Schizosaccharomyces pombe: one gene and its partners. Changing the gene in region 1 together with any one later gene gives a genetic interaction. Each region holds a gene or a part of one and is shown in the gene's direction. Other genes may lie near its edges. The genes, in order: kin1, for3 and pmp1.

Region 1 (3,834 bases):
CTGTGAAGTAGAAGAAATATCGTTCAAACGCTCCAAAGCATTAGTCAACGCAAAATGCAAAGAGTCCATCTTCTGGCGTTGAGATTCTACTAGATTAAAAAGCTTTGCCAAATCAGCCTTTATTGCGTTCAAACCTTCAGTGTCAATAACTGTTTGAGGACTAGTATTGTCACCGACGCTTTGCTTTGTATTGGAGGTAGGATTCAAATTTTCATTATTAGATGTATCTGGAGGAAGTATATTGAGGTTCGATAAAGCCACCAAGTCTTTTGCAGACGTAGATTGAGAGGAAACTCCAAAATAATACCCCTGAGGCAAAATGACATCTTTTACTTGAAAGCAGGGCTTGTCATTCACAAATAACTCTAATCCAGATTGGTCACCGTATTTGAGAATAATATTGTTCAAAGCCTCAGGAGAGCTCTCAATGGTACATTTAGCAAAGGGCGGAAGATCGGGGTCAGTAAACTGAGCAAGTTCAAAACTTTTATCATTCAAATAGCCACGAACAAAGATTTTACCAGTTTGATCGATTTCCTGGGAAATCAGAAGGCCGTCCCACTTATCGGAGGCGCCAAAAACTGGACCTTCTGAACCGACAGCGCTTGTATACCAAATCGCAAAAAAGGTGTTTTCGTTCTCTGATACATGAGCTACAAATGAAGTCGATAGCTGCCAGCCAACTTGTCGTAAAACGCTAGTTGACCAAAGGGATCCAGAGCGTGCTTCATTACTGTCTTTGCTGGTTAAGTAAACGTAACCTGAATCTTCATCCACACTACCGTACCATTTCCATTCAACGGGAATGGCGTTACTTAGTGAATGAAGTTGCAAAAACTGAGATTTAGGGACGGCGTAAGCCAATGTACAACAAAACGATAATACATGAAACAGGGAGCAAAACTTCATTTTTCTTTACTTCGTTTAAAAATAGATAAATGAATATTGTGAAAGTATGCCAAAAAAAAGAGAGAGAAACAGAAATTGAAAGAAAGGATTATTTGGTTAAGACCAGGGACTTTTTGCTCTATTACTTATAGAAAAAGATTACTCCAGTCCTTAAATCCTTTAGTTACCGGGAACCAAAGTAAATAGATGTATTTTTGGTTTATTAGTTACCGTCAGAAAGTTTATCTACAAAATTCCGTAAATGTGAAATGACAACAACCGCCAACTCAATCGTAGTAAATAAGGATGATATTTCGAAAGTCACCTAACGAGTAATGTTAGACTTCCCTATATTTAAACATGGCAGCTTTCTGAGCAACTATGGATGTTGCAGTAAAATTGTATATGAATTGGTTTAATTGCTCGAAAGCATTGTTTGTGTGCAATGCAACTTTTCAATGCGAAGTGTATTTAATGATTATAACAAGCAATAAATGTAGTAAAAAAGACCATTTCTCTACTCCACATCAGAGACAGAAACCAGTTTTTGTTTTTTTTTAAATTGTGACTAAAAAAACAAAAAAACAATCAATGAATTAAGAGTACCGTCATGGTCGATGACTAATTTTAGTCGTTAAGAAAATTAATTGATTGTTCCATCGAAATAAATTTCATAAGCTTAAGAGACATGAAAAATACTTAAAACAAAACTCTAGAGTAACTTTAATATTTCGTTAATTTAAAAAGTTTTGACTTGGCACGATAATTCAGATGTATGAATAATGTAAAAACACACGCGTATTTGTTCATTTATGAGGAAACTGTGATGGTGATTTATTCATTGTATTTTTGAATACGCATATATTTAAAAGATTTAAGTATACAATTTCAATTGAGTCGTTTGCTGCATACTAAATCCATTTTTAGATACCATGTTTTTCTCATAACCATAAAGGAGCATGCTTGCGCCTCGGTATATAGCAGTCGTGATCTTTTAAAAGGGTGTGTGGGAAAGGAAAATACAAGTCGATAAATACATGAAATAGATTAAAAAAATAAAAGTTTAAGAAAATAGTAACTGGTAGGCTATTTTGAAGTCTTATCTCTATATAAATCGATACTAAACGTAATGAATGCTTTAGCATGGTGCATTCATCCATGACATCTCCACTGCTGCTTTAACCATTCCGTACAACAACAAAGCCAGTGCATTTGGGTTAGGGAATCCTTCCTTTACAGTTTCTGGCTTCATTTCCTTTTTTTGTAATAATTTAATTGAAAGGAAAGAATTGAAGAGATATTGAATGCCTTAGGGGACGTAGCATAGATTTGCAGTGGTTGTTAGACAGGAAACAAATTGCGGGAAAATCTCAAAGTCGTTTGACTTTCTGTTGCTCAATAAAAGAAACAGGAGACCTGTTTATACTAGAATTTCTCAAACAAGAGTTTTTACGACCGAAAATTATCGAAACAACTATATTTTTTGGTCGTTTATCTTGTTCATCGAAAAAGCTAAGCCGGTTTACCTGTTCTTCTTCCATCTTCCTGCTGCTCTAATAATCTCATTTGTTATCTTTTCAAGCTTTGCTTATTTGTTTTGATTGTAGAAACGGCTTTATCGGCTTGTGAGCATCCTTCTTTTCACAAACAATATTGATTGACTACTAATCCGTTTCTAAGCCACGAGCATTCTTGTAACTAGATCGCTTTGCTTATTTGTTTTCATCTCGTACAAGAATTTCTTCGTCCCTTTATTGTTTTCTTTTTAATTTTTCGGATTTCACGCTTTTTCGTAATATTTGTCATCTTAGGTTCGCAAGGAAACTGGTGCCACGATTTACGATAACAAAGTATTTTTTGTCAACCAAGATTTACACGTTTGTATTATTTTCACAAAGTTATTATTTTATTACATTACTCAGTCGGCTTATTTTGAGTTGATTGCTAATTTTTGCCTCTCAAAAGTTCAAGCAGTAATTTTATATCTGCTTTTTTGTCTGTTGATCCCATTTCCTGATGGAGTACCGTACCAATAACGTACCCGTCGGTAATGAGACAAAGTCTGCCGCTTTAAATGCGTTGCCGAAAATTAAAATATCTGACTCGCCCAACCGTCATCACAACCTGGTGGATGCTTTTATGCAATCTCCTTCTTATTCTACACAACCAAAATCCGCTGTAGAGCCTCTGGGTTTATCTTTTTCTCCTGGGTATATTTCTCCTTCTTCTCAGTCTCCACATCATGGCCCCGTAAGGTCTCCATCAAGTCGAAAACCGCTACCAGCATCTCCTTCTCGTACGCGGGATCATAGCCTGCGAGTACCTGTATCTGGGCATTCTTATAGCGCTGACGAGAAGCCTCGTGAAAGAAGAAAAGTCATAGGCAATTATGTACTAGGTAAAACCATTGGGGCTGGTAGCATGGGGAAAGTTAAAGTTGCGCATCATTTAAAAACAGGTGAACAGTTTGCCATTAAAATAGTTACCCGTCTTCATCCAGACATAACGAAGGCAAAAGCTGCTGCTTCTGCTGAGGCTACTAAGGCAGCACAATCAGAAAAAAACAAGGAAATTCGTACTGTTCGCGAAGCTGCCTTATCTACTTTGCTCCGTCATCCGTATATTTGCGAGGCAAGAGATGTTTATATTACTAATAGTCATTATTATATGGTCTTTGAATTTGTCGACGGTGGTCAAATGCTGGATTATATTATTTCACATGGAAAATTAAAAGAAAAGCAAGCTCGAAAATTTGTGCGTCAAATTGGAAGTGCGCTGAGTTATTTGCATCAAAACTCTGTGGTGCACAGAGATCTAAAAATTGAAAATATTTTAATTTCGAAGACCGGTGACATCAAAATTATCGATTTTGGTCTTTCAAATTTGTATCGACGTCAGTCTCGCTTGCGCACGTTTTGTGGTTCATTATATTTTGCTGCTCCAGAA
Region 2 (3,600 bases), on another chromosome or scaffold:
TAGTTGAGCGGATATTTCCGACTGAAGTCTAGTAATATCAGCCAAAGATTTCCCTGTATCACGTAAACGTTCCATAGTATGTTCAAATTCTTGGAGTAAAACATCGTTCTCTTGCTCAAGTTCTTGAAGTTGCTGTTGAGTAAAAAATGTTTGTAATTCAGATTCAGGGATCTCAACAGCTGAATTTTCATCAGTAGGATTTTTTGTTAAAAAGTCTGAAGCAATGTTTCGCTTTTCCTGACCTCGTTTTAATCTCAGATCTTGTAAATGATATAGAACAGAAGAAACATCGGAAAGTTCAGACTGCAGATACCACAGAACAGATGAATGGTGGGCGACTAAAGTTTCCTTTTTCGATAATTTACTAGGGTCTCTTAAACCTTGCAGCCAACCACTTTTTTTAGGGATTTGACTTTGTTGTTCTACTCATGCAATTAGCAAGCATGTCCCTGTGTTTTGTTTATAATTTAAGTAAACATAATTTTACCAGTATTAAAATTTTAAGCTTACCTTTCACAATCTCCTGCAACTTAGCTATTTGATGAATACAGCTACTGATTGCCGAAGAGACTTCATGTTCTATTTCATCCCTTTGAACCTCATCTAGCTCAAGCTTTGAAAGCTCCTCAAGTGAACACTCCATTAAAGGTTTTGAGAGTCTTTGGACATTTGAAAATGTTCTGTCCTTTAAATAAGCTCCACGAATCTTTTTCAAAAATACTAGAAGATTAACAATCGTTTCATGCTGCTAACGTTAGCAATTTGAACTCTCTGATTAGATATAGAAAGCAATAACAAAAGTTAATACTGTCAAAAATTTAAACCAATCCCACTCAATAATTAATCGTATATTATGGTAGCGCATCTCCACAGTGATCAATTGAGTTGAGGTTAAATTTCCGATTGGTTCAATAATTACAGAAAACTCGTCCTCAAACTTACAATTCTATATCCTTCAGCCAAAAAAGGATCCGTATAACTTATTCTTTTCAAAGGAATGTTTGCTGCATCAATGTCGCCATTTTTTGTTAATCCAAAAAACTCATTCGTACGACTCGTCATTCAGAATTTGAGATGCTAAGAAAGGAGAAATATAAATCCCGGGTTAAATGAATTTCAAATTAACAGAACAGATGTTTAGAAAATGGTAGCATTCCATATCCCCTTATGAATAGTGACACGGTAAACGGAATTGAGAGACTTAAAGGTGCTCGTAACAAATGTTCAAAAAAGCAAAAAAAAATACTCCATTGTACGAGTTTTGTTTATTTACTTCAAGTCGATGTCTACAATAAATGAAATTAAGCTAAAGTTTCGCAATTTTTGAAGTATTTAGAAATGAGCTATTTTCAAGTAAACAAACAAACGTAACCAGTTATACACCTCACAAGAATGGAGCGCAGTCAAATTGTTTACAATTTTTGAGTTATTTTTAAAAATTTAGCTTGAAAAAAGTTGTTTGTGTCCTTTATCTCGAAGAAATAAGGTTTTTGTTTTGCTGGTGTTGAGGTTGCTATATAATAACATGGTTTGGGCGACATAAATTCATCCTTTACCAACGCTCTTCGAAACGTTAAATTTGCATATTTATCAAGCATTTTATTGCAATAAGGCTAATATTATTAACTTTAATTGATTTTAACCTTCAGTATTTGCTTATTGTTATACAATATACAGTGATTACCCCTTTTTCTAAAAAGCTGTACTTTCGCATCACATCTGATACCTGCGTTCCTTTCAACTTTTTAATATAATCATCCAAACGATTTTAAAATCTGGTTGACATTACCGCGGAGCTTTAAGCTCTGCATTACGATATATTTTCTCTTTCACCAAAGATTGCTTTCTTCCTTACCATTTATTCCTTAATCAGCTTCGTTAGTATCTTTTTTACAACCAAATTACCAGTTTGGTATGTTAATTCATAATGGCATCTAAAATGCCTGAAGGGTCTCCCCCTACTAGTCGTTCTATTCAATCTCGAAATTCCAGTTACTCTACCTCTTCCAACGAACGTATTGGAACACCCTCTACGATTTCCCTATCTGAAAATTCAGATCTTTCTAAATTACAAAGTACTAATGATTTTGAGTCGCGAGAAGATCTCTCTCTTACTTCCGATGACAATAATGACCCCGAATATGTTATGTGCTACAACACTGTTTATCACCAAAAGACAAAAATAAATGATAAACTTTTATCCGAAACTGAGCAGTTACGTAAAATTTATCCTTTAGAATCCCGTGTATTTCCAAAACCTACCATTGTTAAAGAGATTACCAACGAGCGAACCAAGCGCTACACTTTTTATGACGATGATGCTCCTCTTACTAACCAACATACTGTTTTAGATGAAGCAACTTATAATCGAATTTTAAAAAGGATAGACTTTTTCATTGAAAAAGTCGTTGAAGTCCCACCTACTTACCATTTTTTATCGCTATTAAACGTTCAATTACGTATTCAACCAATTTGGTGGATGGATGAATTTGCTGAAAGAAATGGTATTGAAAGTTTACTGTCTGCTTTAAGAAACCTGGGTCACTATCCTGAACGTGCATCTAAAACACCTCTTGAATCCCAAATAATACAGTCATTATTTCACTGTTTGAACAGCGAAAACTGCCGTCGTCGTTATCAGTCTTCAGCTAAATGCTCTGTTCCAGGATTTAATGCTCTAGGTACTATTGCTGAGACTGTGCTTTCAAAAAGTTTAAATTCAGCTCGCATGGCTACTTTTCTCCTTAAATTCCTTTGTAATAAAAAGGGGTTGAGTTACTTCAAAGCTGTAATCAGGGCTTTCGAATGGCTCGTCGAGCAAAAGTTATCAAAAACTCGGTTTAGCGCATGGATGCATTCCTTTAATGATGTGATTACTGGTGTCCGAGTTTGTGCTGATTCATCTCCTCAAGCGATTGTTCACATGGACGAATTTGAAGATACGGACTGCTTGATTGATTACCTTGTTGCAACTTTAGCTCTCATTCGAGATTTATGTGCTGCTCCACCGGATTTGCAACTTAGGTGTGCTCTAAGGCATGAATTGTTATCTGCTGGTCTTCAAAAGGCCATCGACTCTTTGTTAAAATGGAGAAACAGACACGTCCGTGATGCTCTGCAATTACTAATCAAAGAGCATAATGCAGATGCTCGGCGTTTCCGAAGTGGTAGTGATGTGAATAATGTAGATAGGAAATGCGTAAAGAAACAGATGAACTATAGAGAAGAATCACATACACCTCATGGAAATACTACTCGAAAGACCTCTACTCCTGTATCTAATAATCGACCCACAACTCCGGAACAACAGGCTGTTTGGGATGTTTTTCAAAGAATTTATACTCGCTTTACGGGAAGTGAGGGGTCTAAAGAAAGTTTCATTAAACTACTCGAGTATTTTGTGACTGAACCCGACAACGGAAAAATTCAAAAAAGTATGCAGTTATTGACTCACACGCTTGAGGCACTGGAAGGTTTCAAAACTGCCAAAGCAGATACTAATGTCGGTCTAACGATCCTATCTCAAAGACTTTTAGACAAACTTGGTACCGCAGAGGAGATTGCAGAGTACAAGACAAAGTATAATGGAGCCATGCTTGA
Region 3 (3,834 bases), 2.2 Mb from region 1:
CGAACTGTGGGAAAAGCTTATTCAGGAAAACTTCGTGGATCCCGTTAAAATACGTTATGATAACTAATAGCGAACTGTCTTGTTGCTGTGTTTTGCAATATTACTTTTAAATAGTATAAGACAGTATGTTAAGTTAGGTTTTCAGAGTGCATACTCTATTCGTTAATTCGTGCTTTCAACTCTTTATCTTTCAAGAGTGCAAGAATCTCTTGCAAATTCGAGCTTGGTCTTGCAACTGTTTATTCTAATCCTCCAGCGTCTTGCTGGTGGTTTCGCATGTCTGAACATAATTACCAGTCTGATAGGGAAGTGGCAGAGGATCCTTTTCTTAATTATGAAGCCTCTGCTAATCAATTATCCTCAAATTCGCGCGAATCTACTCCAAGAGGTTCACCATGGCGCGCTGGTATGAGATCCGCATCTTTAATGACAGAACCTTTAGAAGATTCCATGTATAGCGATAATAATTATTTAGACAATGGGGTCTCTTTTACAAAAGATGAAAATCCTCTTTACTCGCCGTCTTGGCCGAGTTTGGCGGATGCAAACGTGAATTCAATGAAGTCTAATAATGCTATACAGGAGCATAAAGCAGCGAAATTTGTTTCTGAAAAGTCTTTGGAAAAAGTATCGACTGCAGATAATAACCTTGTGCTTCAGGAGCTTGAAAATCTCCGAGAACGCTTAAATCAAGTAGAGCTTCAACTCAGTGAGCGACCCTCTTCCTACTTAGGCTATCATAACAATCTTAGTCCATATCGTTCTCCTAACAGTTACCCTTCTCTTTTACCCTCTACTCATTCACCTCACTCACCGGCGCCGCTAAGCACGATGCAAACGGCTCTTATGCGGCTTCGCACTTATCATCCTTCGCCCATCATTTTAAAGCCCGTAGAGCAAGCTGTAAACCATGCAATCACCTTGGTAAACACCTCTCCATCGAGTGTGGTGGATGCGTTATGCCGAAGCCTTGCCGAATTGTGTCTTGGCTTGGTGCAAGAAGCGATCGATGCATCTATTTTGAGTCAACAGGAAAGCTCAAACTCTTTAGATCTTGTCCGTCATACACCACCATTGAATTATACCAGTTCTGTTGATTCTTCACCACAACGTATGGCCTCTGATAGTTATGGTAGGCCTTCTCTGCATTTAAATGACCCCTTTCCATCAGTTGATCTTCAATCAAATGAACTTTCTCATCATAATGTTAGAACAACTCTCTTTTCTGATGATTCCCGATTTCATTCAAAAATTCATACACATTCTACTCCTCCTTCTCAAATGTATAGTGCTGCATCTCATTTCCGGTACCGTAGCGATCCATCAACCCGTCATGTCTCGAATTCTACAAACAAATCGAGCTTGCATCCATCACCAACGTCTTTGCGAGTTGCTCATCCTATTATCCCCCAGAGGGCGTCTCCAGCATCACAGTCTTTTCCTTCTCTTCAAGACACTCCTTCCCCCTAGTTCGGCCTATTACAAGTTTAATTTTGAATCAATTTTTCTTTGTGTTTATCAAGTAAATCAGGTTCTTCTCATACATGTAAGTTCATACAAACATTGATTGAGGAGTGCTATCATTTAATTTGTCGTCCCTCTCGTACAAGTTTTTATTTTTTTTATATCGCTCATTTCTTTAAGAAGTTGCTAATCCTACTAGGACGTCTATTTTAATGTTATTGGATCTGGCTGCATCTCTATTTGCTGCATTGCTTGCTCAAACTTTATAGTATGAGAACGTCTTAAAATTTGAGGTTTTGTTCATCTTCTCATCAATGCTATTTTTTTAAAATTGATAATTCAGTGCAGATCTTTTCATTATTTAACCATATACGATAATTTAGATTTGGGAAGTGGATGTCTTCTTCGCAAGACGAAATGGTACATTGTGTTTAATTAGCTTTATTTCGCACCTGATTTATAAAATGAATCAGATAATTTAACTCGTTACTGTATTTACTTTTAGTATCTTTCTATATTCAAGTTTACCAACTTGTTAAAATGCGTTACCTCTGTCACCTGTAGAAAAGCATCAAATGCTGTAGCTTGGTAGGAGCTCACAATACTTCCATACATCTTTTCAGTCTATCATCAATTATTAGAACACTGAAAATTTGTATTCTCCAGTTATCTTCTTGCAAGTTAAATATTATAGAGGAAGCTAAGTTGAAATGGTTATTGGTGCCATGAATGTTTGAAGGTAACTCACAAAATGAATTCTGAATCAGCGAAAGAAAATGCAGAAGAGCAAATTGAAACGAAAGGACGTGCATTGAAGTCCTCAACAAATATAGAACGAAAAGAGTCTTCCTTACAACCGCTTCGATCAAAACTTCCTTTGAGAATGTCTCAAAAACTACCTCCCTTAAAAATTTACACCTCCCAACTTCCCCTGGTTTCCCACAAAAATATGTTGGAAAACGAAGAGGAAGCTAGTCATTCACAATTGTTTACTCCGTGTCCTGTCCCTCCATCTTTCCCGAAAGCATCTAAACCCAATTCTAATCAGCCGTACCCCAATGGCCCTGTTTGTATCTATCCCCCAAATATTTACTTATATGCCAAACCTACTATGCCCATTATTCAATCTTTTGATGTTGTTATAAACGTGGCGAAGGAAGTTTTGCATCCATTTCGCACTGATGGCCGTCATTATAGAGATTCTAAACATAACCTGGACATTCAAGTATTTGATCACATCGAATATGTTCACATTCATTGGGATCATGATACACAGTTTGCTTTGGAACTTGATAAGCTTGTTTCTTTTGTAGCTTACAATGCCATGCAACTTAACAAAAAGGTTTTAATTAATTGTCAAATGGGCATTTCTCGCTCTGCTTGTTTGATGATCGCGTTTATAATGAAGACATTAAACCTAAATGTTTCTGATGCTTATGAGTACGTTAAAGAACGATCTCCATGGATAGGTCCCAACATGTCTTTGATTTTTCAGCTTTCAGAATATCAACAAATTATTCGTAAAAATTCTAGTCAAGGTCCCTATCAATCGTCATCCTTGAAACAATCCAAAAGGAAATCTGAAGGTAATTTGCTTTTCCCTGAAAAGCCTCATAGTGCACAACTGCCTCTTGTTAGCCCGTCCACGTCTGAGTCAAGTATGTTCACAAATCTTCGAAGAACTCGAAGTAGCGGCAGTATAAGTAATGATGCTTCTTGACAATGCCAATTATTTATAAATACATAAAAAAAGGGAAATTTTGTCTATTCAAGTTCCGTTGTAAGTTGGTTTTTATACTCTTCCTTATGGGTCTTAATTCTAAGCTTATCAGCTGCTTTTAAAAAATATCCACTTTATTATGAAGACTTACGGGTCGCTCGTCAGTTATTCATATCATTCGTCATGGACTTTTTTACAGTTTGCATTGCTCGCTTCCAATGTATAGTTATAATTCTTGTTTAATACTTAGCTTGCAGATGTTTTATCGTTCTATGTTGCGAATTTGTATTTACCTCAGTTTTTTACTTCTAGTCTTTGGTTCTGGGTCGGTTTGTTTACCAATGAAAAAAACTAGAGTTTTCATGTCATTTGTCATTGTTATTGAGTGAAATTTGTGCGTCGTGTTATTTTCTAATTCATTATTCTATTTTTATGCTATTTCCTTGTTATTATTACTAAACTTAATATGAGGTTGTGAATATTTATTCAACATCATCAGTATCTATTCTTATTCCCAGTTAAAATGATGTCCCTTCTTATCAGCAACACGGTGTCTTTAGTTGATATAAAGCATTCCTTCAATCGTTAGAAATTTGTAAATTTCCGAGTTTACGATTCGTACTAACTTGAGCATTCATGAATTTACAATT

Evidence for each region.
Region 2: of kin1 (region 1) and for3, changing one enhances a phenotype caused by changing the other (phenotypic enhancement), as found in Schizosaccharomyces pombe (one study listed by BioGRID).
Region 3: mutations in kin1 (region 1) and pmp1 impair growth when combined (synthetic growth defect), as found in Schizosaccharomyces pombe (3 studies listed by BioGRID, with this or other methods).

The regions. Positions count from the first base shown.
Region 1 is NC_003423.3:2,692,264-2,696,097, forward strand, and holds the start of kin1 (MARK/PAR-1 kinase Kin1), read left to right. Parts: upstream 1-2,068; 5' UTR 2,069-2,904; coding exon 2,905-3,834. Other genes in the region: emp46 (lectin family glycoprotein receptor), read right to left, coding at 1-909. UniProt on the Schizosaccharomyces pombe protein: Has a role in establishing the characteristic rod cell shape. Important for cell polarity and is involved in directing growth to the cell ends.
Region 2 is NC_003421.2:1,001,203-1,004,802, forward strand, and holds the start of for3 (formin For3), read left to right. Parts: upstream 1-1,547; 5' UTR 1,548-1,927; coding exon 1,928-3,600. Other genes in the region: SNARE protein Ufe1, read right to left, coding at 1-422, 511-745, 943-1,062. UniProt on the Schizosaccharomyces pombe protein: Involved in controlling polarized cell growth. Required for interphase actin cable formation and microtubule organization.
Region 3 is NC_003423.3:494,466-498,299, forward strand, and holds the start of pmp1 (dual-specificity MAP kinase phosphatase Pmp1), read left to right. Parts: upstream 1-2,067; 5' UTR 2,068-2,347; coding exon 2,348-3,184; 3' UTR 3,185-3,834. Other genes in the region: gamma tubulin complex linker Mto2, read left to right, coding at 277-1,470. UniProt on the Schizosaccharomyces pombe protein: Dual specificity phosphatase that dephosphorylates MAP kinase pmk1 on a Tyr. Has a role in chloride ion homeostasis by inactivating this pmk1 MAP kinase pathway.